Linked DNA regions of Rattus norvegicus. The protein of the gene in region 1 interacts with the protein of each later gene in a pairwise test. Links are inferred from orthologs where the notes say so. Each region holds a gene or a part of one and is shown in the gene's direction. Other genes may lie near its edges.

Evidence for each region.
Region 2: the proteins of Ccdc136 (region 1) and Hmg20b interact in binary tests that used the Homo sapiens proteins (3 or more experiments, as listed by UniProt). The two-hybrid records come from large-scale screens. The link is inferred for Rattus norvegicus from reciprocal best matches to the Homo sapiens genes CCDC136 and HMG20B.
Region 3: the proteins of Ccdc136 (region 1) and Jmy interact in binary tests that used the Homo sapiens proteins (3 or more experiments, as listed by UniProt). The two-hybrid records come from large-scale screens. The link is inferred for Rattus norvegicus from reciprocal best matches to the Homo sapiens genes CCDC136 and JMY.

What each region holds. Positions count from the first base shown.
Region 1 is NC_086022.1:58,958,793-58,969,382, forward strand, and holds the start of Ccdc136 (coiled-coil domain-containing protein 136), read left to right. Parts: upstream 1-4,403; 5' UTR 4,404-4,500; coding exon 4,501-4,558; intron 4,559-5,306; coding exon 5,307-5,414; intron 5,415-7,052; coding exon 7,053-7,307; intron 7,308-7,391; coding exon 7,392-7,466; intron 7,467-10,590. UniProt on the Homo sapiens protein: May play a role in acrosome formation in spermatogenesis and in fertilization.
Region 2 is NC_086025.1:9,015,479-9,025,948, forward strand, and holds Hmg20b (SWI/SNF-related matrix-associated actin-dependent regulator of chromatin subfamily E member 1-related), read left to right. Parts: upstream 1-4,223; 5' UTR 4,224-4,528; coding exon 4,529-4,566; intron 4,567-5,238; coding exon 5,239-5,347; intron 5,348-5,667; coding exon of another isoform or gene 5,668-5,745; coding exon 5,746-5,949; intron 5,950-6,232; coding exon 6,233-6,353; intron 6,354-6,856; coding exon 6,857-6,903; intron 6,904-7,376; coding exon 7,377-7,452; intron 7,453-7,769; coding exon of another isoform or gene 7,770-7,811; coding exon 7,812-8,027; coding exon of another isoform or gene 8,028-8,174; intron 8,175-8,261; coding exon 8,262-8,394; intron 8,395-8,477; coding exon 8,478-8,490; 3' UTR 8,491-8,904; downstream 8,905-10,470. UniProt on the Homo sapiens protein: Required for correct progression through G2 phase of the cell cycle and entry into mitosis. Required for RCOR1/CoREST mediated repression of neuronal specific gene promoters.
Region 3 is NC_086020.1:26,403,074-26,412,948, reverse strand, and holds part of Jmy (junction-mediating and -regulatory protein), read left to right. Parts: intron 1-771; coding exon 772-1,375; intron 1,376-2,669; coding exon 2,670-2,977; 3' UTR 2,978-2,980; intron 2,981-6,706; 3' UTR 6,707-9,875. UniProt on the Homo sapiens protein: Acts both as a nuclear p53/TP53-cofactor and a cytoplasmic regulator of actin dynamics depending on conditions. In nucleus, acts as a cofactor that increases p53/TP53 response via its interaction with p300/EP300.

The sequences.
Region 1 (10,590 bases):
TGTAACATCAGACGGATGTTGAAATCACACAAATCAGAATTATGTAATATTTTGTGACTATATACACATAAAGTACAACTTTCAAACCTTTGGATTGTTTCTGGTGGTCGGGGTTGGGTTTTTCTAGATTTTAGGCTTCTACTTCAAATAAAGGCTGGCACAGAATTGTAAAGTAGCAAGGAAATTTTATTCCAAAGCAAAGCAAACAGCATAGACCAGAAAGAAATACATGGTAAAGGACCAGTAGCCCGCAGGAGTGAGAAACTGTTCGAGGCTCCAATTATGACTTGAGGCTTCCTTTTATGGTGTTCAAGAAAAGAAGTTTGGTTACTAAAGTGTGTAAAGTTGTTTTCTGTGTTGAACAATAGGTTAAGTCATATAATTAATTATTTCCCACATCACTTCCCATAATGCATCTGATCTTAATCATAGAGGCACCCAATTACACACACACACACACACACACACACACACACACACACACACACACACACACACACACATATATATAATGACAGTCAGGGAATTCTCCCTCAAAGTTTACTCAAGGACAGTTTTACCTTTATGTAGGCATACACTCAAAAGCCATTTCAGATCGGATCTGTCCTTTTATTCTTTCTACTCAGATGTATTGGAAATATATTTGTCTTTTTTTTAAAATATTTATTTATTTATTTTATGTATGTGAATACACTGTAGCTGTCTTCAGACACACCAGAAGAGGGCATCGGCTCTCTTTACAGATGGTTGTGAGCCACCATGTGGTTGCTGGGAATTGAACTCAGGACCTCTGGAAGAGCATTCAGTGCTCTTAACCACTGAGCCATCTCTCCAGCCCCCATATTTGTCTTTTTAAAAAAATTATTATTTTTCATAAGCCGAGCCTTTAACAGCTGAAACATCTCTCCAAACCCTTTGGGAATACATTTGAATAAAAAACGTGATAGTTGTTAGAGACAAAGAAACATTAAACTATGGTTCAAAGAGTGGTGTACACACAGCCTGATGTAGGTAGGGGTCCGAGGTGGCTGGGTGTGTTGTCGAGGAAGGTTGTGTATACATGGTACACACAGGTAAAGGAACTAGGCTGCCAAGAGCATTACTGCAACATGGAGGGAATGTGCATAACTAAACCCAAACAGGGTCCCAAATTGCTACACTACTCCCTGTCCTTACCTACTTCAGAAGCAAATCTGGCTTGATATCAATTGACCTGGAGAGATGGCTCAGTGGTTAAGAGCACTGGCTGCTCTTCCAGAAGACCTGGGTTCAATTCCCAGAACTCACATGGCGACTCACAACCATCTGTAACTCCCAATGCCCTCTTCCAGTCTCCTTGCACACTTCACACATGTGGTACAAAGATATAAATACAGGCAAAATGCTGGTGCGTGTGCAAATATGTCATTTTCAAAAATATATGGTTGTAAGAAAGTAAAATTACTGCTGGGAGAGGGAAAGTCAGTTTTCTTTAATGATCATAGCCCCCAGGTAGGTCGTCCATACTCCAGGACAGACCCTGCTCCCAGGGGTAGGAGGACAATACAAACTGGACTCCACTGAAAAATAAAATAAGGGGTTGGGGATTTAGCTCAGTGGTAGAGCGCTTGCCTAGCAAGCGCAAGGCCCTGGGTTCGGTCCCCAGCTCTGAGAAAAAAAAAAAAAAAAGAAAAAGAAAAGAAAAGAAAAGAAATACAAGACGACATCTCAAAGCTGGGGGTAGGGTAGCAAGGTGAGGGTGAAGAGGGTAGATGTGGGAGGAGCAGGGACTCAAAAGCATTTATAAAATTCTGAAAGAATTAATAAAAATATAAAATTTGCTCCAAAGTAAAATTTAAACATGGCTAGGGATGTAGCAAGGTAACAGAGCGTTTGCCTACCATGCAAAAGGTCCAGAGGTTCAAACCCCAGTACTGCAAGAAGAGTAAAAAGATATGAACAGTCTGGTGTGCACAGGAGTGTTGTTGCACTAGTCTTTGAACTTTACTTTTCTGCATGTTGCCAAATGCTCACTTTAAAAATGCTTTAGTGGTTACTCTGAGCATCTAGAAATAAGGATAACAGGGGATAAATGGCTGCATCAGTCCTCAGAAGGGATAATCTCCTGAGGTGGGATGGGGTAAGGCTGAGTCTTAAACCCTGGGATTATGAGGATTAATACAGATCATCCCTCTAAGCTGATCACCTGGCTGACACACCCGGCATGCCTGGCCTTTCAGAGACATTCCTGACAGCCCCGTCCCCCATACCTGCTAAGCTCCTTCCTTCTGACCCCTAACTCCACCCTCCTTTCAACCCCATTTCTGAATGGGGTTTGCCTCCTACTGACAGACTGGTTCTGGTCTCCCTGGAACATTCCCTGAGATCAATGGTGATGACCTGCATCCAGGAACCAGGGAGAGCTTAATCCTAATGCTCAAGATCCAAGCTCTCCTTGTCACAAGCGACAATGTCTTTCTTCTCATTCACCCACTACCAACTGCTACTCTGCCCTGCTGCTGAGACAGAACCGAAGGAGCTGCGTGGGGCAGAACCACGGAGCTTCCAGAACTAGTCCCCCATGAGAGCCCATTTCATCATCTCTAAACATTGTATCTTGCTATCCAAGTCTGGCTGGATGATCTGCAAAACAATAGGCTTGCTTGGCAGCTCTTCTCTATGGCTGGATCACTATAGCCATAGGTCTTGTCCTCTGGTGAAAATGAACAATCATTCATTTCTCTGATCATCAGGCTGGGGGTGGGGGTGGGACTTACTATTGACTTCTTCTAATTTTTGGACTTTTTTTGTTTTGTTTTGTTTTTAGAGACAGGGTTTCTCTGTGTAGCCCTTGCTGTCCTAGAACTCACTCTGTAGACCAGACTGGTCTCGAAATCATAGAGCTCCGCCTGCCCCTGACTCCCAGGTGCTGGGATTAAAGTGTGTGCCGTCACTGCCTGGCAGGCATCATTGTTAATAGGAACATGAGTTTAAATCCATGAGTTAAAATCTGTGATTAATGAGGAAGGCATTATTAATGTAGTTGGAAGGTTCATGTCAACTCATTTATTCCAAGAGTCAGATACTTTGATAATAAAGATACAAAGATGGCCGGTTGTGGTGGCGCACACCGGTAGGATTTGCTGAAGGAGGCAGAGGCAGGAGGATCACGAGTTCGAGGCTAGCCTGGGCTACACATTTTAAAGGGGGTTGGGGATTTAGCTCAGTGGTAGAGCGCTTGCCTAGGAAGCGCAAGGCCCTGGGTTCGGTCCCCAGGTCCCCAGCTCCGAAGGAAAGAAAAAAAAAAGATACAAAGATAGCTAGGGTACTTCCCAATCTTAACGGCAGCCAGTACTCTGATGCTGCCCAGAGGGTCAGAAGAGCATAACAGGGGTGTCTAATAAGGAAGGGATGGCGTGTCTGGAGAGTAACTCTCAACCCGAGGCTGAAATTACTGAAAAACTAGACATGTGCAGCAGGCAAAGAAGTGCTTCATTCCTGTGGAACATGGAGTCTTAAGAGCCTTGCAGCTTGGGGAGTTCGAACAAGGCCAATCCAGGTCCAAACTTTAGGAGTGAGACTACAAGAGAAAGAACTGGTGTGAGTACCCAGTTTAGAAATCTCCCCACGATTAGGACTCGGGGAGCCCATTCCTCCTGAGATGTCAGATCTGCCTCAAGATCAAGTTCATCTCTTGAATAAATAGATGAAAAGATGAAAAGATATGGTTTCCCATATCTCCTGTTACAGGGAACATCAGTGGTGCTCACACGGCACAGGTCACAGAGGGCGTGGCTCAAAGGACGATCTTGGTACACTTAGAGACAGTCTGGGTGGATCCTTGGCCTCTGGCTTGGTGGGAATTCGGGGGAAAGCAGTGATGTGCCGCCTGGTAGTTGGCACATCCAGGTCTCAATTTCCCTACCCGCCAGCTCTGCAATAGCTCTGGGGTGCGCGAGGCCACCCGGAGGGGATGGGCTCTGTAGACTGCCGGGATGGAGATGCTGGCCCAGCCTGGAGACCAAGGAAGTGTGCGCGCGTGTCTGCGCATCTGCATGAAACAGTCTATTCAACACCCCACCCCTCTACCCAAAACTCCCCGGCTTCTATCACCCGGCAAGACCAGGCCCTGATACCCCAGCGCAGAGAGGTCCCCACGCACGGCTGACCCAGGGTGGGTTCTGCAGCCAGAACCAAGCCATCCTAGCACTCCTTGGGAGCATCTTCAAGATCCAGTAGCCCACGCCTGCTTTGCAGGCGCAGCAGACCTGAAGCTGCCTCGGGCGAGCCTGGGGCACTTGGGTGCTTGCTCTGAGACTCTTTTGCAGGTCCCCGATGGGTCTGGGAGCCGGCACTGGGGAGGGTTTCCGGGCGGCCGCAGGCGGGCACTCGCGTCAGGTGGCCAGGCCAGGCCCCGCCCTCTCGGCCCGCCCTCTCTCTTCGTTGCGCACCGGGCTCCCGGTCCCCGGCCCGGAGGCTGCGGCTTCTGCTCGGGAGGCGGCGGCAGCGACGGGAGCGGCCATGGAGGCAGGCGGCGGGGCCGGCGCGGGAGCCGCGGGCTGGAGCTGCCCTGGCCCAGGTCAGAGCCGCCTCTCCCTCAGCTCCCTATGCTCTTTCCCCCAACGTCTCTCCTTCCTTCTGACCCCCAGGTTCTCCTGGTACTGAGTCGGCTTCCTCCACCCTGGCCTCCACCGGATACCGGATACTGCTCTCCATCTTTCGACCTGGGATGTCTCTTCCCAGCGGTCACTCCCCAAGCGCTCCCCATCCAGTCTCTCCAGCCCAACAGTGCTTCCAGCTCACGAGGGGGGCGAGGGGATTGTCTCTAGAACCTGCACCCTTCTAGTTCATCAAAGCTCTTGACTACCGTGAGAGGGTGGGGTGGGCGAGGTCTGGTGAGGGAGAGGAGGGGAGGGGAGAGATTGAGGAAACGGCCTAGTTTAGAGCCCCCTCTCTTCTCTCCTGGTCCGGCCGCCCCTCCCTACTCTGCTTTGCTATAAAGGACCCTCCCAAAACCTTCTTTCCTAGTTCCCACCCTATCCCTCTTCTCCTTGTGCCCCAAGCTAAACACTCACCCTCTTCTGTCTGGGCGAGGGAGAGGAGCCGGAAACAGCCTGGAACAGGGGTGCTGATGTTAGGTAGCTCCGGGCTGGGGTCTTCTCCATAGGCAGAGCATGGGAGGTGGCTAAGGGAATAGAATCACAGAGCTGGGCAGAGTGAGTCAGGCTTCTCCAGTGTGATGACAAATTTCGGGGCTCCCATATAAGAACGCAGGTCCCTTTCTTTCCCCTCGAAACCTACAGTGCCTACTTTCTCCCTGCTCACAGGACCCACAGTAACTACTTTAGGCTCTTATGAGGTATCTGAGGGTTGTGAGAGGAAGAAAGGCCAACGCTGGGGGTCCCTGGAGCGCCGCGGGATGCAAGCTATGGAGGGTGAGTTTTCTGAAAAAGGCTTTTCCATCACTCCATAACTCCCTTCCTCCTTCCTTCCTGACCCCAGAGCTCTGAGCCAGGACAGGGCCCTTCCCTTACTTCATTTCAAGCCCCTCCTTCCTGGTGGCTGAGCTCCAAGCCTCCCCTGGGTTCAGGCATTGATGGAAGTTTGGGCTCATCCCTTTGGGGCTCCAATCACCCAGCTAACCAGGTTGTGTGTCCTGGGGGAGCCGCCAGACAGAAAGAGGTCCTGCTGAAGCCAGCCTGGAAACAGGCTTTCGGCAGGGGGCTTGTTCTTCTCCCTGCCTGTTGACCCAGATCCCAAGCTGTCTCTTATTTTAAAAGCCAGGACATGGACATGTGAACTGTCTTTTCGATGCCGCCACTGTCAACTCTGAACAGAGCTCTGCAGCTTTAGTAAGAAAGTGCTTAGGAGAGAGCTCGATGAAGCCTATTTCCCAGCAGCACTCCTGTGTAGCAGGGCAGGTGGTACCAACCCAGTATCCAGGTCTTCTTGTGAAGTGTCCCCAGGCCCCTGTATAGTTCAGCACAGGCCTTCCCTAGAGACTTAGATCGCATAAGGGATCTCAGATTAACTGTGTGCTGTTGGCATTAGAAAAGGGAAGACCAGACATCTAGAATTTAAAAACAAAGCAATCCCTACCAAGACAAGATGTTGCTATTTACAGGAACTGCATTGCAGTTAAAAAAAAAAAAGTGTTCACGAGCCTGAACATGAAGACCAGTATCAGTTTTTCAAATGTGTCAGCAGGAGTGGAGAGATGGCTTAGCAGTTGACCAGTTCCCAGCACCCACATCGCAGCCCACAGTTGTCTGTGACTCCAGTCTTAGAGGCTCTAATACTCTCTTCTGACCTGCAAGGGCGCTGCACTCACATGATGGACAGACACACACGCAGGGACAGACACACACACAGGCACCTGTATGCATTAAATAAATAAATGAGTAATTTAGAAGAATGTGTTAAGATGGCTGACTTTCTTTCATACACGAGTTCAGCCTGACACTTACTCTGAAAATCAACTTTGGTCAGCAGGCAAGGGATGAACCTTGTGGCACCCAACACGGAAACATCGGGTGTAGAAAATTTCAAGAAGATATTTGATAACATACATTTGAAAGGGTTCCACCAAGTCATTTCCGCCTAATGTTTCCTTTGCTACCTACAGGCCAGGCCGGTGTTTTCTTATTATGAAAAGGCTCTAATACCTTGCAAGCCACCTAGATTTTTTTTTTCCTCCCAAGCTTGCTCCATTTGGCCTAAATAAACAGCTGGTGTCTGAATGTCTGAATCCTTTCTAAACTCCTTGTCCCACTACTCAGAGTTGAGACGACCAGTGCTAGGTGTCCTCAAGCAAGCTTCTTGTAGCTGAGCCTGCATGAGGCTGCTGTAAAGGCAGTAGATAGTCAATATTAGGTGTCAGGAAGCTGGAAAAGGTGCATCCAAATTTGACCCACCAGAGCCTGACCATGAGTTAGGTCCTATCCCAGGGAACCTCGGGGGGGGGGGGGACACCAGGTGGCACTATTCTGCTGTCCAGGGCCTGGGGTTACCACTCCAGGTGCAGGGTTCTGGAACAGGTACTGACTGTGTGGTGGGATGATTGTCTCTCCTAGGGGAGGTGTTACTTCCAGCTCTGTATGAGGAGGAGGAGGAGGAAGAAGAGGAAGAAGAGGAAGAGGTTGAAGAAGAAGATCAAGTACAGAAAGAAGGCAGTTTGGGCTCCCTGTCAGTGGGCAAGCATCGGGGCCTGAGCCTCACAGAGACAGAGCTGGAGGAGCTGAGGGCTCAGGTGCTCCAGCTGGTGGCAGAGCTGGAGGAGACCCGTGAGCTTGCTGGGCAGCATGAGGATGACTGCCTGGAGCTTCAGGGTGAGCACCCGTGACAGGGCAGGGTCTTGGGCCCAAAGGGTGTGTGTATCCCCGGTTCCAAACCAGACGTTCCTCTCACTGCAGGGCTCCTGGAGGATGAGCGGCTGGCCAGTGCCCAGCAGGCCGAAGTATTCACCAAACAGATCCAGCAGCTCCAAGGTAACTGCCCCCCAAGTCTAGACAGAGGGGAAGTGGCCACGCTAGTCAAACAAACCTAACTCAGAACCTTACCTCTCTCCTTTTCTTTATTTCCTTGCCCCTTCTGTCTTAGTCAGGGTTTCTAGTCCTGCACAAACATCAGGACCAAGAAGTAAGTTGGGGAGGAAAGGGTTTATTCAGCTTACACTTCTGTGTTGCTGTTCATCACCAAAGGAAGTCAGGACCGGAACTTAAGCAGGTCAGGAAGCAGGAGCTGATACAGAGGCCATGGAGGGATGTTACTTACTGGCTTGCTTCCCCTGGTTTGCTCAGGTTGCTCTCTGATAGAACCCAAGACCACCAGCCCAGGGACGGCACCACCCACAATGGGCTGGGTCCGCCCCACTTGATCACTAGTTGAGAAAATGCCTTACAGCTGGGTCTCATGGAGGCATTTCCTCAACTGAGGCTCCTTTCTCTGTGATAACCCCAGCTTGTGTCAAGCTGACACACAGAACCAGCCAGTATACCTTCTCTTCTCCTTGCCCCGTGTTCTCCTTTTTTCTTAATTTCCCATCTTTACCTATCTACATGGCCATCCTGCCCTCCTCTCTCTTGCCTTCCTATCTTTCCCAGCCTCCCCCCCCCCATCCCTATTTACTTTGTTCTTCTGCCCAGGGCCAGGGGTGTATGATCCAGGATGAGTTCCAGGCTGTATTTCTCATCCTGGTTCCTCCAAGGTCTCCATAGGGACCCGCTGGAGGACATTCCAGTGTCATTGAAGGAAACAGATAAGAACCTGAGTCTGTGGTCCCCAATTCCTCTATTTCAGTCCCTGTCCTTTTGTCTCAGGAAACAGTGAGGCAAGCGTCGTCCCATATTCCACTGCACTACCAAATAGAGAGCTTTTGTTACTTCTGTGGGCTTCCGGAAGGTTCTGAGGATCTGCCCTAGAAAACAGCAGGGACTCTGTAGGGAGAGCTGAGATCAAGCCAAATGCAAAGTGTAAATGGAGATGGGGGAAAAGGTCTGGAAGCCGTCCTGGAGAGAGCAAGCGAATGAACAGAACCTATATGAGGAGGAGCAGAAGAGAAGGGTACAGCATGCAAGCAACGGGAGATGGGGGAAATGTGGCAAAGAGAAATAGCAGACACAGCACGGTGTGTGTGTGTGTGTGCGTATGCGTGTGCGTGCGTGTGTGCGTGTGTGCGTGTGTGTGTGTAAACTCCCAGGTTTACCTTTACCCATGCACAAAGTTCATTATCTTGGGCAGGTCACTTATCCTCCAGAGTCTCCATTTCTTCCCTGTAAAACAGTTGTCTGTCACCTGTTTGTTGAGATCCTTTGTATTTAAAGGACCAACAAAGAACACAATTGTCCAAATTCCTAAAGAGTAGATTCCACAGCTGGGTAGGGTGCACAGGCCGGAAATCTCAGTATGTGGGAAGTAGAGGCAGGGAAAATCAGGAATTTGATGCCAGCCTTGGCTACATAGTGAGTTCAAGGCTATCATAAGACCCTGTGCCATTAAAAATAAATAAGTTCTAAAGGAAAGTGTAACAATACAAGTAATAAAGGCAACACAGGTATGAATATGACGCTCAGATACATATGTGGTACTGACAAGTTGTTTTTCTGCCAGTAAAATGAGCCAACTCAAGCCAGATTAGATTATATTAAATGCAGGTTCATTGGGAAGCTACATTCAGGCAAGTTCACTGACCCCCCAAGGACTGAGGCCGGGGCAGTCACCATGGGGAGACGGGGGAAGAAGAAGAGAAAGAAAGGAAAAGTATGTGCAAAGAGAGAAGAGAAGAAGAGGAGAGAGAAAGGGAGACCAAAATGTCTGGAATACATAGGGAGGAGCCTCTCGGGGAAGGGCAGCCCAACCCCTGTGCTGGAAAGTTCAGGGTTAGGGGCAGGGTATGCCAGGTTGGGACTGAGGGATGCTGGGAGAACCTGGAGGCTAGGTCTGCTTTGGTAGGTAAGATATGCACCTCAGTCCCTTATCCCGGGACAGATACATGGATAGGGATGAAGTGGGAGTTGGCTAGGTTATGAAAAGTCTTCAAGACATTGGTGCGTCAGTTGTGTAACGGGAAGCGTCCAACCATTCAAAATCAGGTGGAAGAACCTGGTAGACAGAAGAGCAGCAACAGCAAGTCCCAGAGATGAGGACGAGTTTCATGTGTTAGGGGGTGCAGAACCAAGGTCACTGCAAAGTTCATGTGAAGGACCCTTGTAGGAGGAAGTTCTAAGAAGAGGGCAGAGGTCTGGTTAGAGTAGGTAGGCCTTTTAGGTTAGCAGACAGAGCTAGCATCCATTGTAGATGCCATAAGAGGTATTTTCCATGACCGGAGTGGCTGATATGTTTTATATTTCTAGTTAGCGCTTTGTCTTTTTCCTCCCGTGGTAGGGGTTTAATCCAAGGCCTTTGCCAGGTGCTGACCACAGAGCAACATCCCTAAACCTTTGCTTTACCTTTTCAAAAGAGTACTTTAGAACCCCAGAGGAAGAAATGGAGTCAAACACACCAGTTGGTCCATTTAGCTGACTGTTTTGTTGAACTAAGGCAGTAGAAATGGAACCAGTTGGAGACATATGGAAACTGGGTAAATACCCATATCTAATGGCTGGCATGGGAAAACTTGGTAAGAAATTTGCTTGGGAACTAGAGAAGCCCTTTAAGAGATTTTGGCTGGATAGGTTCAATGTCCAAGTGAGTATGTGAAGGAGCCATTTGGATGTGTGGTCTAGAACCAGGGGAGAAATGAGCTTGAAATGAGTGTTGGTAATTATAAACATGCAGACAGCATTATAATCTATGGGAGATGGACATTCATTCATACCAAGAGATACCAGAGGGGAGAGAAACAGTCCATAGAGATTCTCCTAACTAGATGCCAAAGATAAAAGGAATGGCAAAAGAAACGTGATAGAAGGAACACCTAAATCCATTCTGGCCTGAAAGCCAAGAGAAAAAAAAAAACCAACAAAAAAAAAAAACCGCTTATCCACTATGTGGAAAATTGTGAAAGCAAGTAAGGTGGCTGCCGAGGGTTGGCAAGATGGAGAACCAGGAGACACGGCAGAATGGATTGGGATTAGAGGAAAAACGGAGAACAAACTGAATACAGATCAGGGT
Region 2 (10,470 bases), on another chromosome or scaffold:
TTATGTATGTGAATATACTATATCTGTCTTCAGACACACCAGAAGAGGGCATCAGATCCCATTACAGATGGTTATGCACCACCATGTGGATGCTGGGAGTTGAACTCAGGACTGCTGGAAGAGCAGTCAGTGCTCTTAACCGCTGAGCCATCTCTCCAGCCCCCACTCCAGGTTTAAGAAGCCATTTGGGGTTTGGGGGATAGACTGGGGTGGATACAGGGCCTGGGGCTTGCAAGGCAGACACTGCCACCGAGCTCTGTTCCCACACAACACACTGAAAGTTTAACCAGAGGGTGAGGCAGGGGGATTGCAAGCTCAGCTGCACCTGGGCAGTTTAGTGAGAGTGAGAGACCCTGAATCAAAACTTACAAAGGGGGCTGGAGAGATGGCTCAGCGGTTAAGAGCACTGACTGCTCTTCCAGAGGTGGTCCTGAGTTCAATTCCCAGCAACCACATGGTGGCTCACAACCATCTGTAATGGGATGCCCTCTTCTAGTGTGTCTCATCATAAAATAAATAAATCTAAAGAAGAAGAAGAAGAAGAAGAAGAAGAAGAAGAAGAAGAAGAAGAAGAAGAAGAAGAAGAAGAAGAAGAAGAAGAAGAAGAAGAAGAAGAAGAAGAGATAGAAGAAGAGAAAAAAATCTAAAAAGATCTAGGGCAGGGACTAGTGGCGTACACCCTAATTCCTACACTGTAGAGAGGCAGGAGGATCTCTGTGAGTTTGAGCCCAGTCTGGTCTACAGAGCTACAGGACTGCCAGGCTACACAAAGAAACCCTGCGTCATATAACAAGACAAAACAAAACACAGAAAACAAAATTACAAAAAAGAAAGAAAAATGGTGGGTTGGTGATTTAGCTCAGTGGTAGAGCGCTTGCCTACCAAGCCCAAGGCCCTGGGTTCAGTCCCCAGCTCCGAAAAAAAGAAGAAAGACAGACAGACAGACAGACAGACAGACAGACAGACAGACAGACAAATGGTCTGGGCATGGCCCAGGGTGGGATTCATGCCTAAAACTCCCTCAGTGAAGGGCTGGAGCTGAGGTTGGAGGTGGAGCCCTGCCTAGTGTCGCCCCACCCCCAGAGAGGGCTGGTGTGGGGGTCAGAGACAGAAAGCCTGCCCAGTCTCTATAGGTCTCCGTTCTGTTTCCACCACAAACAAAACAAAATAAAACAACCGTAGAACAGACGCGCTGATACATCTGTTATCTGAGCCTCAAGGACTCGTTACTGTTACTCCATCCCAGCAACCTTACCCCACAGCCAAACCTGTCTGAAACTACATCCCTGGTGCTTCCAAGGTCGACTTAAAAACACCATAAACTCAGACCTGGGTCTGTTCTATCTTTTTTTTTTTTTTTTTTCTCTTTTTTCTTTTTTTCGGAGCTGGGGACCGAACCCAGGGCCTTGCGCTTGCTAGGCAAGCGCTCTACCACTGAGCTAAATCCCCAACCCCCTGTTCTATCTTTTTAATTGTAATTAATTACTTTGGTTCTTCAAGACAGGTTTTCTCTGTGTATCCCAGCTGTCCTGGAACTTGCATATCTATAGACCAGGCTGGCCTCGAACTCACAGAGATCCATCTGCCTCTGCCTCTCGAGTGCTGGGATTCATGGTGTGTGCCACCACCTCCCGGCTTCTGTCTTTTTCGAAGGCCCAAGGAATTTTTTTTTTTTTTTTTTTTTTTTTTTTGTCGGAGCTGAGGACTGAACCCAGGGCCTTGTGCTTGCTAGGCAAGCGCTCTACCACTGAGCTAAATCCCCAACCCCGGCTTCTGTCTTTTTATTTATTTTTTTTAATATTTTATTTATTTAAGGACACTGTAGCTGTCTTCAGACACACCAGAAGAGGGCATCAGATCTCAATACAGATGGTTGTGAGCCACCATGTGGTTGCTGGGATTTGAACTTGGGACCTCTGGAAGAGCACTCGGTCCTCTTAACCACTGAACCATCTCTCCAGCCCTTATTTATTTATTTTTAACTGTTTTTGAGAGGCTTTCACTATGTAGCACAGGGAAGACTGGAACTTACAGAGATTCCCCCCCTTCTGCCAGCATTAAAGGCGGGTAGGTAATGGCACACCAAGCTCACAGCCAGTGATGAAGGTCGAGACTCAGTACAGAGTAACTGCCAGGCTCCCTTCTTGGGCCACCTTGGCCTCGGTCCTCACAGCCGCCGGCCATTGTTCTCCCCCAATGTTCTATCTCTGCTGTAACAGGAAGCCCAGGTTTGATCAAGCCCAACCTTATCTAAGCAGCTCTATCTGCACTGTCACTTGCTTGAGAAAAGCGGCTCAGAATCCCCTAGGCCGCGAGTTGGGGGCGTCACTTGCACCTGCCATTAAGGCAGACAAACACATGTTGCATGTGTAAGCATGTGCGTGGTCCCATAAACACATACCATCATCGCCATGTGTCTAATGAGTTACCACATTGTCATCTGGCCAACATTACCCCATCACAGGGTTCCAGTTTATAACAGTGAGGGAGGACGGAGGCCAAGACCGCAGTGCATCAGGGAAACGCCCTAATCTTGTCCCCAGTCCCTCATTGGGGATTATGGGCGGGGCTCCACTCTGACCACGCCCCCAGCCCTTAGTGTGTCTAACAGGAATTGAACTGGAAGAGCAGCAGGTTTTATTTAACCACTGAGCAATAACTTCAAGCATTTCTTTAAAAAAAAAGATTTATTTATTATTTCATGTTTATGAGCATTTTTCCCTGCATGTAAACCTGTGTGCCCGCGCGTTTGTCTAATGCTAATGCTCTTTTTCCTAAAAAGGTAAAAAGAGATCTCTTGAGACTGGAGTTACAGATAGTTTTCAGCAGACAAATGGGTGCTGGGAATAGAATTCAGGTTTCCTGCAAGAGAAACGCACTCTCCACCACAGACCCACAACTCTCCAATCCTCTTCAGTTTCTCTTTTACTGTGGACTGTTACAGACTAGAGTAAAATCACATTTGGCAACCGAGATGTGGGGTGTGCTGTCTCTTCTTTTTGGATAATGAGGATCAAATTCAAGTTGTTGGACTTCTCTGTAAATCCCTTTACTTTTTTATTATTTTTAAGATTTTTTTTTAATTTTTAATTTTTATTTTTATTTGAGTACACACTAGCTGTCTTCAGATACACCAGAAGAGGGCATCGGATCCCATTACAGATGGTTGTGAGCCACCATGTGGTTGCTGGGAATTGAACTCAGGTCCTTTGGAAGAGCAGTCAGTGCTCTTAACCACTGAGCCATGTCTCCAGCCCTTTAAGATTTATTTTTGCATATGGGTACAACACAGCTGTCTTCACACACACATCAGATCCCATTACAGATCGTTGTGAGTCACCATGTGGTTGCTGGGAATTGAACTCAGGACCTCGGGAAGAGCAGTGAATGCTCTTAACCTCTGAGCCATGCCTCCAGCCCACCCCTTTGCTTGCTAAGCCCTCTTGTCAGCCTGCAGCTGACCTTCAAAATGCTTTATTTATGAAAATGCTCTCAGCCGAGCTTCTAGCTTAGACCTAGGTGTCAGCCTCCCAGCCTGTTACTCTTCCTATGGTTCAATGCATCCCTCGGTCAAAAAGTAAAACCAAGGCTCCACAGAAAGGAAAATCAGTGACTGGTGGTCAGGGTATATACACAGACCATTTCCCCAGTCCTCCATTTATAAAGCATACGTTCATTCATTTATTTTGGTGTGTATGTGTTGCACATGTCACAGCACACGGTGGAGCTCAGAGGACAACTTGCTGGAAAATCCATTCTCACTTACCACTTTGTGGGTTCCAAACTCAAGTCGTCCACTAGGTGGCGAGCACCTTCAAGTGCTGTGCAATCTCACCAGACCCATTTTTCTTTCAACGTAGTAAGAAAAAATACGCCTTGCCCTACTGCAGAGGGGTGCCTCTTTGGAACTTAACTCCTTCCTCAGGAGCCTACTAAAAACGCCTCCTCCGCCGACCGCGTCCCTGGTCTCCATCTCCATACCTACTGGCCCTTTAAGGAGCTCCGCCCCACAGCGCGCCGCCAATCGCCTCCGATTGGTCCCGAGCCCGTCCGAGCGCAGCCGAACTTGACGCACCCGCCCGCAACCTGCCCGACGCACCTCCCACGCGGCTCCGCAGATCTTTAGCCAATCACCGCCCGGCGCGCCGAAATTAATCTGCATAACCCCGCCCCCATGGATTACTCAGCCAATTGAAGCGCTAGGCTTGGGTTTATTAGCATGAGGGAGGAGCGGGCGCGGGCGCTTGGTTGGAGCGTCGCCGCATCCCAGGTCCCGGGAAAGTTTTTTCAGAGGTGAAAAGAGCCGGGAAGTCGGGGCCTGCGCGGGGCGGAGGCTGCGGGGCGCGGCCTCCGGGACTCGATCTCGCAACAAAGGATCGCGGGGCCTCCCGCCCCAGGACCTACCCGCCCCGGGATCAGCCTCCCCCGCTTGGGCACCCCGGGGACCGGCCTGCGGTCCCGTCGGGGTGGCAGGCAGGAACCCCCTAACCTTTGCCGGCTTCTGTTCCAGGACCCCCCCGGAGTGGCCATGTCCCACGGTCCCCGGCAGCCAGGCGCAGCCACCGCGTGAGTGCGCCTCCCCCTGCCTGTCCCGACCCTGGATATGTCTTGTCCCCATCGTCGAGTACCCCTGGAAATGCCTTGTGTCCACCTCGAGTACCACTGGTCATGCCCGTCTCTACCCCGGGTACTCCTGGGCATGTCCTGTCCCACATCTCTGGGAACCCCTGAACATTCCATGTATCTACTCTCGGGTACTCCTAAACACGTTATGTCCACGCTGGGACCTCTGGACATGCACTGTCCTACCCTTAGGTACCTCTGTGAACCCCTCTTTTGGGAACCCTGGACCTGTCCTGTCCCTGTTTCCTACCTTATCCCCACTACTGGGACTTCTGACCATGTCCTGTCACTCTTCGGGATTTCTGTACTCCCCGTAGAATTGACAGGGAACCCTATAGTCTTCCTCGCTATCTCATTTTGCTCCTAGGCTCCAGGACCACCTCACTGCATCCTCCCCCCGCTCCCGGCCCCACCTCGAAATCCTTGAACTATCCTCACTCCACAGTGGTCTACTGTGACCCTTGGATCCTCAAACCCTAGGTCCCCACCCCCTTTTCCCGGGCTCATGCTTGCTCTCACATACTTCTGTGATCTCCAGTGACAAGAATGGGATGGGTAGGTATGGGGGAATGATTCTGGCACTTAATGGTGACCCTGGTTTCCTGTGTCCCCAAGACCTGCGGGAGGCAAGACTCCGGGCCAGCATGGGGCCTTTGTAGTGGCTGTCAAGCAGGAGCGCAGCGAAGGTCCCCGTGCCGGAGAGAAGGGGCCCCAGGAGGAGGAGGTGAGTCCCCATCTGAAAAGCCTGTCCCGGGCTGGGGATTTAGCTCAGTGGTAGAGCGCTTACCTAGGAAGCGCAAGGCCCTGGGTTCGGTCCCCAGCTCCGAAAAAAAAAAAAAAAAAAAAAAAAAAAAAGCCTGTCCCCTGGCTCAGCAACACACACCTCACAAGTCCACACTGTATAAGACCCTCCCACTGCCTAGCAAGAGGCCACGCCCCCGCCCATCCTGTCATTGGCTTCAGTCCCACCCCTAGGAGGTTGTCTCCGCACAGGACAATTGGCTCTCTAGAGTTCTGACCCTTGATCTGCTGTCCCACTACTAGGCTAGGCCCCGCCCACACGCCCCAGACCCCGCCCACAGTTCTCAGAGCCCCTCCCAAGGACACAGCCCCCTCCTGCAGCCAGTGAAGAAGCGAGGCTGGCCCAAAGGCAAGAAAAGAAAGAAGATTCTCCCCAATGGGCCCAAGGCCCCGGTCACGGGCTATGTTCGCTTCCTGAACGAGAGGCGGGAGCAGATTCGCACCCGACATCCGGACCTTCCCTTCCCGGAGATCACCAAGATGTTGGGCGCGGAGTGGAGCAAGCTGCAGCCAGCAGAGAAGCAGGTAGAGACCAGAGAAGCGGGTGGCAGAAACAGGAGGGTTCCTGGGTCTTCCTGCCAGCAAGGCAAGCCTCATCGGTGATCTTCGGGTTCAGTGAGAGACCCTGGCTCAAAGAACAAGGTGGAGAGTGAGTCAGACAGACCTGGAGAAGGGATGCTCTTTCTAAGGGTTTGAGGGAGGGAGAGAGGCAAGGTGGGAGTTACGAACAGGTCCTGGCTCTGGCCACCCCTGTGTGCCTGCCTTCGTTTGGGCTGGCCCTAGTTTGTGGGTGCTACTCCCCTCCCAGCGGTACCTGGATGAGGCAGAGAAGGAGAAACAGCAGTACTTGAAGGAGCTGTGGGCATACCAGCAGTCAGAGGCCTACAAGGTCTGCACCGAGAAGATCCAAGAAAACAAAATAAAAAAAGGTGAGTGAGTCGGGCAGTGGTGGCACACACCTTTAATCCAGCCCTTGGGAGGCAGAGGAGCTCTGCGTTCGAAGCCAGCCTGGTCTATAAACAGTTCCGGGGGGCTGGAGAGATGGCTCAGCGGTTAAGAGCACTGACTGCTCTTCCAGAGGTCCTGAGTTCAAATCCCAGCAACCACATGGTGGCTCACAACCATCTGTAATGAGATCCGATGTCCTCTTCTGGTGTGTCTGAAGATAGTAACAGTGTACTTACATATAATAAATAAATAAATCTTAAAAAAAAAAAAAACAGTTCCGGGACAGCCACAGATACCCAGGGAAACCCTGTCTCAAAAACAAACAAACAAACAAACAAACAAACACCCAGCAACAACAAAAAGAAAGGTTAATGGGCCCAAACTCCAATGGGCACAAAGGTTTCCAAGGGGGCCATGGGTGGGGACTTGGGACTGGGAGGGTCCCTGGAGTCCTGGCTGACCTGCCTTCTTCCCTCCTCACCAGAGGACTCCAGCTCTGGGCTCATGAACACCCTCCTGAATGGACACAAGGTAAGGGCCTCTCTGTCCAGAAGGACTTAAGGGAGAAGACACCAATGTTTTTAGACACCCCTCCTCCTTCCCCAGTGAGTGTGCCCCATAGATATAGGCAAGACCACTGTGGAGACACAGCAACACCATGGTGGGGCATAGCTTAGTCCTGACCTGACATGTAGGAAGCTGGGGACTCCAGGGCCGCTCAGAGCTGAGAACATTCACTGCTCTGCAGAGGAAAAAAGATTCAGTTTCCAGCACCCCCTTGGCTGTGTGCACAGCCATCTCTAACTTCAGTTCTGGGGGATCAGCTACCTGCTACCCTCTTCTAGCCTTTGTGGATACTGCATACATATGGGACACACACACACACACACACACACACACACACACACACACACACCCCAAAGGAAATAAAAGCAGGCCAAGTGCTCCAGGAGGCCCAAGCTCCAGAGATGTGGGTCCCTACCAAACTCATTGCCATGTCCCAGGGTGTGGACTGCGGCGATGGCTTTTCAACCTTTGATGTTCCCATCTTCACTGAAGAGTTTTTGGACCAAAACAAAGGTGAGATTTTCGTAGGTGCTGGTGTCCTGGTAGGAAGAAGATTGGAAATGAGAATGAGGACTGAAGTCAGGACTGAGGTTTCAGGGGCCCAGGACAGAGGAGGGATGGAGTTAGGGATGGATTGGGAATAGAGGGAAGACAGCCAGGCTGGAGACGGTAGGGGTGGGGGTAGGGCTAAGATTGGGGGGAGAAAAGGGTCAGGGCTGGGGTCGGGGATTGAGGGCCGATACCGGGTCTGAAGGGAGATGAGGTCAGGGGTAAGGCCAGGGATGGAGGGGAAGGGTCGGGATGAGGCCAGAGACGAAGTGGGTCTACAGCACTCCAGGACCAGTTCCAGGGCTCTGACTCCTGTCCTGCAGCACGCGAGGCAGAGCTGCGGCGCCTGCGGAAGATGAACGTGGCTTTCGAGGAGCAGAACGCAGTGCTGCAGCGCCACACTCAGAGCATGAACAGCGCTCGTGAGCGTCTGGAGCAAGAGCTGGCGCTGGAGGAGCGGCGCACGCTGGCGCTGCAACAGCAACTGCAGGCTGTGAGACAAGCGCTCACGGCTAGTTTCGCCTCTCTGCCGGTGCCCGGTGCGCAGCCCCGCCCACAGCTCTGGGCCCGCCCACAGCCCCGGGCCCGCCCACAGGACGTTCTGTTAGGCCCCGCCCCAATTCCGCGCCAGGCTCCGCTTCCGCAGTATCTGTCCCATCTACCGGACGCGGACCTGCCTGTTGCGCGTAGGCCCCCCCGCCCCCGCCCAAGGAACGCCCCTTCTCTGCGTGTTCAGCCTCGGGTCCGCCCCTCACTAACCCGCTGACCCGCAGGCACCGGGGAGACGCCGACGCTCGGAACGCTGGACTTCTACATGGCGCGGCTTCACGGAGCCATCGAGCGCGACCCGGCGCAGCACGAGAGACTGATCGCGCGCGTCAAGGAGATCCTGGCGCGAGTAGCCAGGTCCGAGGTGCAGGAGGGGAGGAACGGGGTGAAGAGAGAGTATGGCTCAGCTCGAGGTCTTCATCACCCCCTCTGTCCCACAGCGAGCACCTGTGACAGGCCTCTTGGACCGGGAGACGCCCCTCCACACCCGCCCAGGAAGAAGCTGCACCTTGGGGTCTCCAGACCCCCCTCAAATGAAATCTCAACTGCATCCCTTTAACCTCGAACCCCAACCCAGGTTGCAGAGCCCGGAAGACCTGCCTGCCTCACAGGGAGGGTCACAGTACAGTGGGTCAGGAACAGAGGAACCATGGCCTCCGGACTCAGATACCCCACCGCCACCCCTGATGAAGAGCAGGACCCTAGGCCACTCACCATACAGCCACTGGACCCACTGGGCAGGCGCTAACCAAGCAGCGCCGGGGTAGGGGTGGGGTAGTCCAACAGCCCCTTACCCCACGCCTTTCATCACTCAATCCGGACTTTTAAATATGTGTCAATAAAAGCAAGTGAGTTTTCATTCAAGTTAACAGTTGTGGCTTCAGAGGAGTAGGCCCAGCCTGTTCATGATTGTCCTGCTGCGGTGGCCTGGCCTGCCTTCCTACCTCTAGTACAGGATCTCAGAACCTTCACTACACGGTTATCAAGTGGGGAAACTGAGGCAGAGTTGGGCTAGAGTCCCCTATCGCCCTGTCCGTTTTGAGGATCCTCTGTGGCTTTAGGGTCAGGCTGGATTCAGTTCACCCAACCCCCAGATTGGACTTCAGTCCACCTCCCAGAAATTTTACTAAATAAAACTTGCTTTAGCTGAGTGGTGGCCACAGCTAGTCCCAGCCAGCACTCAGGAAGCAGAAGCAGGGGAATCCATGAATTTGAGGCCAGCCTGATCTACAGAGTGAATTCCAGGACAGCCAGGGCTACACAGAGACCCTGTCTCAAAACAACAAAACAACGAAAAACAGCCCCACCACAGAGTTCTCCAGCCATCAGCTACATCTAGTTCTGGAACACTCCCCAGAGGAAACCCTAACTGCCTGAACCTTCTCTATGCCTGATCTCAGCCCCCCCTACACACCCACACCTACTTCACATCCTGGGACATTTCCCATCACAGCGGTCACACTGTGTGGCAATTTATGCCTGTTCTCTCAGTGGGCACCACTGACGCTGTGGGACACATCCTCCTTTTTTTCTATTCTTTTTTTCGGAGCTGGAGACCGAACCCAGGGCCTTGTGCTTGCTAGGCAAGTGCTCTACCACTGAGCCAAATCCCCAACCCCGGGACATATCCTCTTCATGGCTGAGTAATACTCCATATGCTCCAAGCTGTGGTGAGTCACTCTGCCTGAGCCTATCCACTTCCTGTTTGACCATCCATGTCCAGCCCCCAGGGCAGGAGCTGCTGGATGTGACAGAGAACTGTGGAGGACACCTCTGGCTCAAACTTGAAAGAGCCCTGCCAGGGGACTGTTTAATTAATGAGATAGACTATCCTTTAAAACCTGTCTAATCCAACACACGTGTGAGGTGCCAATGAGTTGTACCTCTCAAATGTGTTCCCACCCTCACCCCAGAACCTCCAGGCATGACCTTATTAGGAAGCAGGACGATGGCGGTGTAATTAACTTGAGTGAGGTCATGTTGGGGCAGAGTGGGCGCTATGCCAATAGCAAATGTCCTTTCGAGAAAAGGAAAGTTGACACAGGCCTGGGACTGGGCTTTGTGACAACAGAGGCAGAAACTGCACAGGCCTATGGGCCAAGGACTGTGGAGGACAGCCTCCCAACTGGGGGGTGGGGGGAGGGAGGTGGGGACTAATGCCAGACCTCCAGTTATCACCTGAAGGATTAATTCAATCTGAGTTTTGTTTTGTGACAATGTCTCATGTAGCCAAGGCTAGTCTGGAATTCACTGAGTGGTCAAGGATGACCTTGATCCTCCTGCCTCCACTTTCCCAGGTGGGGGTGTCCCTATGCCCAGATCCCTCCCCCGCACCCCCACCCCCGTAAATGCTCTATCTGCATTTACACCTGCGTGCCAGAAGAGGGCATCAGATCCCTTATAGCTCCTAACCAGCCAGTGCTCTTCACCGCT
Region 3 (9,875 bases), on another chromosome or scaffold:
CACCTTGTAAGCCCCCCTCCCCTGCCCCCTTTTTAAAGTTTCTTCTTTTTTTAAGCATTTGAAAATAGTTTCTTAGCTTATACATTAAGTAGTAATATATACATTGGATAGAGTTTATCTACTGTTTCTTCCTTTGAAGATTAAAGTCACGTGGCTAGTTTTCTTGTTTGTGACATGAGGTCTTGCTGGGTAGCCTTGGGTAGACTGGAATGTGTACAGACCAGGCTGGATGCAGACTCAGAGCCCGCCACTTGCCTCTGTGTCTTGGATGCTGGGATTAAACACAAGTGCAGCACAAGGCCCTGCATGTGGAGTTCTTAAGCAGTTGGCCTCATAGGTGAGAGGGGACAAGGCTTAGCATATTTGATAGTAGATAGTGAAGGGCTTGAGGATAATTGTTTGAAAGGTATTGAAAGTTAGGCACAGGGCTGGAGAGATGGCTCAGTGGTTAAGAGCACTGACTGCTTGTCCAGGGGTCCTGAGTTCAGTTCTCAGCAACCACATGGTGGCTCACAACCATCTGTAATGAGATCTGATGCCCTCCTCTGGTGTGTCTGAAGACAGCTACAGTATATATATATAAATTAATAAAAAAATTTTTAAAAGGAAGTTATGCACAGGCATTCTACTTTGTTTTTTTTCCCCCTGTCTCTTGGATAAAATCAGAAAAGAACCAAATAAATAACATTCTGTTAAAGGAGGAAATAATTAAGCATTTGTTGGCAAGTTAATTTAATACAATGCACCCATTCCCTAACTTTGATATTTTAGAGGTACCCTGGACAAGTCATCCTTAAGTCAACCAGATTACGAGCAGCTCATTCAAGAAGAAAAAGCACGGCAAGTCCTGTGCCCTGTGAGGAGCAGTGTGACTCTCTCCCAGCAGTGCTGCAGGGGGAGGGGAAAGCAGAGGCGGGAGAAGGAAGAGGCCAGCTTGGGTCTTCACAGACAGCAGAACCCCGGAGCCTTGTCCAGCTTGAAGACACTTCATCAGTACAACTTGAATCCACCTCATTACCTCCTCGTGCTGTCACCTCTGAACGGCCTCCTCCTGAGTCAGCTCCACTGTTGACCAATAGTGACCCCGAACGGTGTTCTGTTACTATAGATCCTCTCCCAGCCCCTCTTCCTCCAACACCGCCCCCTCCCCCTCCACCCCCTCCCCCTCCACCCCCACCTCTGCCGGTTGCAAAGGACAGTGGAGCCACCACCCCTGCAGAGACACTGGAGAAAGATGCACTTAGGACAGAGTGTGGTGGGAAGGGAATCCCCAAGTCGGCCAGCGCACCCACAGCACACCTCTTTGACAGCAGCCAGCTGGTCAGCGCCCGGAGAAAGCTCAGAAAGACTGCGGAGGGTTTGCAGAGGAGGAGAGGTGAGTGAGCGGACCTGTCCCACTCTGCTGGAGAGTGAAGCAAGGGTGTGTGTGTGTGTGGATGGATCCTTGCATGGAATTCTGTGTTGCAAAGCTTAAACTATGATTTTTCTATTTACCATTATTTGATAGTGAACATTCAGGGTCACAGCAGAGGAGAATTCTTACCAACTCACAGCAACAAGTGTTCTCAAACATGAGATGCTAGTCCTGTTTTTAAAATGGCCTCTGCCATGACATGTGATTAAGCAATACTTTTCGTGCTAGGTAAGAAGAGGTGCGAGGCCATTGGCAAGGCCATGTGTTTGGTCACAGTTTAGGATTGAAGACAGAAGAACAGGAAGCTATGTGTGCAACTCATTGCATGCCCCGGCATGCATCAATAGAGAGATTTCTAAACTCATTTCCCTGGCCTTTAAGGGACTTTGAATTTGCATGGGGCAAATAATGCAGAGCAATTTGCATATTACATATTGATCTGAGAATATTCTGTAAAATCTTTCATAATACAATCTGAATGGAACCTTGCATGTGAAATAACTGAAAAAAATCCACTGACAGTGAACCAGCATTAAATTGTGTGTGGTGGTGTGTTGGTGTGGGGGGGGACTGTGGGGGTGTACGGGAGTGTGTGTGGGGGTGTGTGGGGGTGTGTGGGAGTGTGTGGGGGTGTGTGGGAGTGTGTGTGGGAGTGTGTGTGGGTGTGTATGGGAGTGTGTGTGGGGGTGTGTGGGGGTGTGTGGGGGTGTGTGTGGGGGTGTGTATGGGAGTGTGTGTGGGAGTGTGTGTGTGGGTGTGTGGGGGTGTGTGGGAGTGTGTGTTGGGGTGTGTGGGAATATGTTGAGGTCAGAGTCTCTTGTAATACCATTCGAGTTGTTCTCTGCCTTACTTATTGAGACAGTTTCTCCCTGAACCTAGAGCTCACCATTTCAGATTGACTACCTAGCCAATGACCCTGCCCCACCCCCGTCAGGCTCCACCCATGTCCTTGCATGTCCCAAGTGCTAGGGTTATAGGTGTGCACAACTCTGTCCAGCTTTTATATGGATGTTGGTTCTAAACTTAGAGCCTCATCTTGGGCATAGCAAGGACTTTACCTACTAAGGCATCTTCTGGCTCCAGTATTAAATTAAAAAAAGAAATATGTAACAAATCACTGCCCTACTTTGGGTACTATGGGGGTCTCACCTGTCGTATTAAGACCTATCATATTCAGCGTGCATTGGAGGTCACAAAATTTGACCAAAACTTTAAAGCTCAATAATCCTCACTGACTGTTTTATCTTTTTCAAAGTGAGCTCACCCATGGATGAAGTGTTAGCATCCTTGAAGCGTGGTAGTTTCCATCTGAAGAAGGTTGAGCAGCGGACTCTGCCTCCCTTTCCTGATGAAGACGACAGTAATAATATTTTGGCGCAGATAAGGAAAGGGGTAAAATTGAAGAAGGTTCAGAAAGAAGTTCTGAGAGAGTCCTTCACGCTTCTGCCTGATGCAGACCCGTTGACACGGAGCATCCACGAGGCTCTGAGAAGAATTAAGGAGGCGTCCCCAGAGTCGGAGGACGAGGACGAGGCTCTGCCTGGCACAGACTGGGAGAACTAGCAGGTACACGGCCGCAGTCCTGGGCTGTGCTCGCTGATGAGCCCCGGCTTCCTTCCTGCTGAGTATGGGGCATGCTCATCATACGTGCTCCATAGCACGGATAATACATGTGTGCATTCCAGTTCTGACTCCAGAGCAGTGTCTTACTCAGTGCAGTGTCTATGTTTTAAAATCCTGTCCTTTACCCAGCATCCCTCTTGTGCAGTCAGGTGTAAGTGTCTCTAGTGTGTCACCGTTGCAGTTGTGAGGGCCTCTGTATCCAGTATCCAGGCTGGTCTGGAACTCCACTCGATTCTCTTGCCATCATGGTATGGATTACATGGTATGGCCAGCAAAGTGTTTTATTCATTTCTGTGTTTAAAGGTGTGTGTGGGGGGGGGGGTTGTCAGGGTGGGGCATGCACATGTGCGCAGTACCCACAGAGACGAGAAGAGACCATTGGTCTTTAGAGATGGAGTAACAGGTGGTTGTGAGCCCTCTGCCATGTGGTCTAGGAAGCTCTTTCAGGTCCTTCTGCAGGTTTTTAAGAGTGCTTGACCAACCATTAAGCCATTTCTCCAGCCCCAGAAAGACTTACAAACCGTTTGTTTCTATCTTGCTCATTAAAATATCTCAAGTGTAGTTATATTCCAAGTAAAGAAGACAGTGTTCTTTTTATCATCTTGACCAGAAAAGCCTTTTTAACTGAATTATTCAAGTTAGTCTTACTGAATCTTGATCCTTTCTTTGCTGCCCAGAAGGGAGTTTTCTCAGGCTAGAAAATTACCAAGTTATCTGGTTATATAGCTTTCTACATATTTAAAATGGTTCACTCACACTATTGTTCTTCACTGTCTACATTAATAAGTTACAAACACCTTGAATCCCGTGTCCAATATAATGGTTTTCACACGCACCGTAATACTTGCAGTCTGCTGTTTGCCGGCCTCCCTCCCCCTTTTGAGGTGGGATCTCACCTTGTAGCTCTAGCTGGTCTGGCACTAGATACACAGATCACGCTGGCCTCCCTTCTCATCTGCTGCTGTATTGGTGAGTTCTGGGATTAAAGGCATGTGCTACCAAGCCCTGCGGCTGCTTATTAAAAGCTAATTATGAAGTGATTAGCACAAATCACACTTACAGAATAGTGATGATAGCGTATGCCATAAGCTAGTTGCATAGCTAAAGGACTGACAGCTACGTCCTTGGCTGGAATAAGGTAATGTGTGCAAAATGTACAGGGCATATGACTTTCTACTCTGAATAATTCTGTTCTCTGACAGACTCTATGGCATTTACTAAAACAGGAAGAGTTAACGAGACTTGGTTGTACTGTTAATACCCCAGCCATGTTCAGGAGGATCATGACTTTGAGGCCAGCCTTTATCACATATCTCAAAACAAAAACTGACGAGTGAACCCCAAAGAGGCAACACACTAGCTAGAGGAGATGCGTGTGTGCGTGCGCGCACACACACACACACACACACACACACACACACACACACACACATGACAGCTATTATTTTTTTTAACCTGGGCATGGTGATACACACCTTTAATCCCAGCATTCAGAGACAGAAGAAGGACTCTGAGTTCAGTCTAGCCTGGTCTATATAGTGGTCTTCAGGACAGCAAAGACTACAGAGTTGTCTTAAGGGGCCTGCGAGAAAAATGTATTTTTAAAATGATTTTTAGCAAGGATGTATACAGGATAATTGTCCGTGGATGGGAGGGTCTGCACAGGATCCTTGGCTGTGTGTGATTCCATGAACTGGCCATAGGGACTTGGTGAGCCTGAATTCCGGCCTTTGACTCCAAATCTGCCGAGGTGGGTGTTTAGTGTATATGCAAGTGCACACGGATTGGGAAGACTTGGCACAATGAAATGGGAAGTATTGGGGGCGGGGATTTAGCTCAGTGGTAGAGCGCTTGCCTAGGAAGCGCAAGGCCCTGGGTTCGGTCCCCAGCTCTGAAAAAAAGAACCCAAAAAACAAACAAACAAACAAAAATATGGGAAGTATTCAAATAAATGATTACTACCAAAAGGGTTTTTACCTGTTCCTTTTGGACCTGGAGGTACGTTAAGGAAAACACCCCTCCTTGCAGCCCTCATCGTCAGCATGGGCCTCAGTCTTACACACAGGTCTAAAATCACATTCTCCATAATGTGTGATTGTGCATTACCTTCTCCCTGTGTTTTCCTTTATTGCTGTAATGTACGGAGACCCTAATTTTCAACCATAGCAGTGTTTCTGATTAATGTATTAATATTCAGAGACTCAAGTTGTCTTCCGGTCCTTTTCCAGAGTACATATTTGCATATCCTCTCCCCCTTCAGTGTCTCCTTTTGGCTTCTCCTGCTGCTTACCTGTGTAGCTCGCCCAGTCCCCACTGACTGGTTAACTGTCCTTTGTGTCCTTATTGCTACACACAACAGCACCTGTCAGCATTCCCATGTTGTCTTTTCCCATCCCACCAGGTCTTGCCGACACATAAGACAGGGCCTCAGCATGTTGTATAATTCAGCTGAGGTGATTTACATGGCTGGGCACTGAGTATCAGGACACTTTGTGAAGGGAGTATGAGAGGCTGGTAGTGTTGAACGAAAACCAGGGAAACACTGAGCAGATGTATGCCCTACATACCTTTAGAGCTCCTCTGAGAGATGACTGTGAGGTTTCCCAGAGATGACTGTGGCTAAGTGTCCCGCAGTAAGTAGCTTTCTAAACCTGAGACAGAATCATAGACTTTATGACAAGGTTCTAATTTGTCTCCTGTAGGGTCTTTCTCAAACTTCTAAGTATAACAGTTCAAAGAGAAAACTGCTGGTAGTCCTTTATAAAGGGAAAAGGAATACGTGAAATTGATCTCAACTTTTATCTGACAGGGGACTACAACAATAACCTTTCAGTATGCAATTGACATACAATTGTGAAATAGTTTGTGTGTGGTGTTTCCAGCTAGCACATCTCAGAGAAGGATCCTACCAAACCAAAATAGATGTACTGGGAAGACACTTTGTTAGAGCCTCTTAGTCTACAAATTAGTCATCTTCTGATCACATTAGCTGTGTTGAGATGCTCAGTGCCCATGTATAACTTCATTAGTAGAAAACAGAACTATAATACAGAAACAAGTTTGCAATACATGCTTGTTCATGTCTCTTTAAAGAATGGTTTTTATCCTCCTCCCAGCGGGCAGGTTGATAAAGCAGTCTGCCTCTGTTGAAGCTTAAAGACTACCATTTAATAGGTCCTACTTACTCTCCTAAGGAACGGAAATGAAAGTGAATCTAACACCCTCAATAGTGATCAAAATTTGTATTAAATGACTCTTGTTCTTACTACTTTAAGAATACAAACATCATGGGGTCTGGGGAGGCGGCTCAATTGTTAAAGATCATTGGCTGTTTTTTAGAGGCCCTGTATATAATTCCCAGTACCCATGTGGCAGCTTAGTGGGTAATTTCAGTCACAGGGATCTGACACCCTCTTCTGGCCTCTACAGGCACTGAAGGCACATGGTACACAGACATACTCATGCAGACACTCATTTACATAGAAAATAAAATCTAGTTTAAAAAATTATAAACATTTTTCTTAAAAGGAAATGCTATACCATTATTGTATAGATTACTATTGAAAAAATATTCATTGAAGATATTTCCAGGAGTATGAGGGAACAGACTTATGCTCTATATTTAAGAGGCATTTTGTTCTAATATTATATTATTTTGTTTGCAAACAGGTAACTTAACAGAGAGAAGAAAAATACCCATGGATGAAGACTGGCTCTGATTTTTTGGGGGAAAGTTTAAGCTCTTGGTCCCACAGTTGGATTCCATTAGATCCCGAGTCTATTGACAACATGGTATGACACACAAAAGGAAGGAGACAGGAGGTTATTACTGTTCAGTCACTCTCCTCGATAGTGCTGACGTCAGCTTTGTGTGCAATGTTCCTGACTGCAGTGAGAACAAGCGCCGGGGGACGGCTGTTCTTGCACATTCTTTTCCCCGTCTGCCCACTCATAGTCTCACCGTGGCCAGTCGTGTCCCTGTGAATTGGGAGAGCATGGGGTTGGCGTCCTTCTGCTGTGCAGGCTGCTTGGGATTCATCTTCCAGGGAACTGAGAAGATGCTTGCTTGAAGCACAGCTGCTTCTACACCAGGTTATAGAAGCAGAGTGACAGGCTGACGAAGATGTTTATCAAGGTAGTTATGGTCAGGAATTAAAAGAAAACAACACGAAATGCACTTAAAATGTCCACGTCACTCACTCATCTCCAAAGGAGATGTTCAGTACCTGAGAAGCCAGTGGAGATAGATGCCTATTGTGTGCACTGAAACATGGCACATTCTAACAGGGCATATTTTTAAGAGGCCACAGTCTTACATTTTGTAAGAGTTTGAAGTTAAAATTTCCATGCTTTTAAAATAGCGTTTCATAATTCTGTATTTAGAATAGTTTGAATTTTATGTGCGTCCTGTTTATGAGAAGCAATGCTTTGTAATTTGATAATGTTACTTTTAGTCTTTTTGTTTGAACTACTGCTTGATTACTATAACTCATGACTTTCCTATTGAGAATCAAAAATCAGGATTCAACAGTAGGGATACAAACAAATTACAACTCTTTGTATCATGCACCAGTTTAAGGTTTATTGCTGTGCTCCTGGTGGGGAGCATGTGTTGAGTAAAGGTCTGGAAGGCAGCGGGCGGTCCCGAGAGCCTCCAGCCGTTATTTCACCGTCTTTTTATTCCGCAGCTAGAACTTTAGGAGAGTGTTTGTTGCTGTGACTAAGTCTTTAAACTTACATGGGCAGATCCAGTGCTGGCTTGGCTGTGTCTGTAAGGGTCCATTTATGAGTGGAGCTGGTGCTGCTTGTCAGTGCGGACATGCCTGTAGGCAGATATGCAGGACCCGTTTCAGCACATTATAGTGTGTGCTAATGATGGAGGAGGAATTAAAATACCAAAAAGAACTTCATTCTTAGAACATTCTTCCCCAGCTTTGCCCACCTGAAAGCCTCGCAGTGTCTGCCTCCAGGAACATGGCTCCCTTCTTGTCACTTTTAAGAGATGTTTCTCTTTAAATTAATTATGAAAAATATTCTTGTAACGGGTTATAGAAAACCAAATCTTTGCACTTAAAACATTCATGTTTATTGATGAGACTAGTAGCATTTACTTAATGTATTGGTTTTAGTCCTAGCATAATTCCCACATCTTGTCCACAACAATTAAAGCAGCTCTGACAGACAAACCTCATTCCTAGAGGAACTCTGTGCCCTTTATACCCCGTAAGTACCAGAATGTGTCTAACCCAAAAGCCATTGGCTAGATAAAAATATTTGAAAAGCTTCAAAACTTAGAAACTTTCTAAAAGTCACCTATCATCCATGCACTGTAACATTTACAGACCTACCTGTCCGTCCGTGCATTGTAACATTTACAGACCTACCTGTCCGTCTGTCCGTGCATTGTATACCCAGGAGCTCAGTTACTTGCTTCTGAGACCTGGCCCTGCTGTGTAGCCCTGGCCAGCCTGGGACGCCCAGGTTTGCCACAGCCCTCTTCTCTCGTCTCTGCTCTCTGCCTCTGTTACAGGCGTGTGGGGGGGGGGGGGGCTGGATTTTTTTTTTTTAAAGATTCATTTTTAAAATTACTTTGAATTATGTATACAGAGGCTCTGGCTTGGTTACTGGGAACCAACCTTGGGTCTTCTGAAGTCATAGTGCATGTTCTTAATCCTAGATCCATCTCTCCAGTCCCATTTTTTTAAACTTCAGAAAAATCGGGAGTATAATTTAACAAAAGCCATTGTGTTGTAATCAGTTTTAGCAGCAGACGCCTAGGCTTTGTAGGTGGGGATGGATGAGGACAGGGAGCACCTCTGAGCACATCCTGACATCCAAGACACAGCACGGAGCCTTCAGCCTGTGCTCGAGGAAGTGATTTCCTCCCAACATGCCATTCTCTGCCTCGGATTCTTGTTCTCAAACTGGAGTGCAAGACCTCATGTTCCACCTCTAGCATTGCTTCTTAATCCTCAAGGAAAGATTTTTACTTCACAAAATCACACACACTGGAGTTATTCATCATAATAAAATTTAAAATAATTCGTATACATTATCAAATCACCAGACAAGTTCTCATTAATTAATTTAAAGTGGCTTTAGGGCCCCGGAAAATGACAGTAAGCATGGTGTGTTTTTCCTCCCATCTTAGTTTCCTAAACACTTAATAAAACACAGAGCTGCTGCTTCAGTTTAGATGCAACCGGGAGACCAGAAGTGATGAGCTCTGGCCTCACAGTTCATTCACGTCCTCAGTTGTCATGGCGTCAGCCAGTGTGTCCAGTTCCTCGTGTACCTGCATATTTTATACTGGAGATGGGAAAGCAGGAGATGACTTGGGATGCTCAATCTAGTGTTATTCTTCATACTTGAATGTCAGTTTCAATATTTCCCTGATTCAACCCCAATTATGTACAGCAGCCAGTGTACTATGTATAGAAAAGGCATCTCTCGATTCAAAGTCCTCATTGCTTTTTTAGCAGTAAGAGTTGCTGGAGAATGAGGACTTTTAGGGGCTAAGCAATGACCCTGTTTAAAGAGTGCTTTATATGGGGTATGAAGTTCATGAGACAGCCTGAAAACAATCATTCCTTACTTGTTCATTGTGCACTTAAAACTTTTTTGCAAAAATCTTTCCTTTCCTTCCTGAGATAGGTGTAGCCCTAGTTGTCTTGGAACTCCCTCTTTACACCTCAAACTCAGGGATTTGCCTGTCCCTGCCTCCTGAGTGCTGGGACTAAAGGCTTGTACCACTACACCTGTCGCAAAATCCATTTTTAAAAAGATACTGGTGTGGTGTGGACTCTCCTCCAGTGAACACAGACTCTACAGTGCGTGT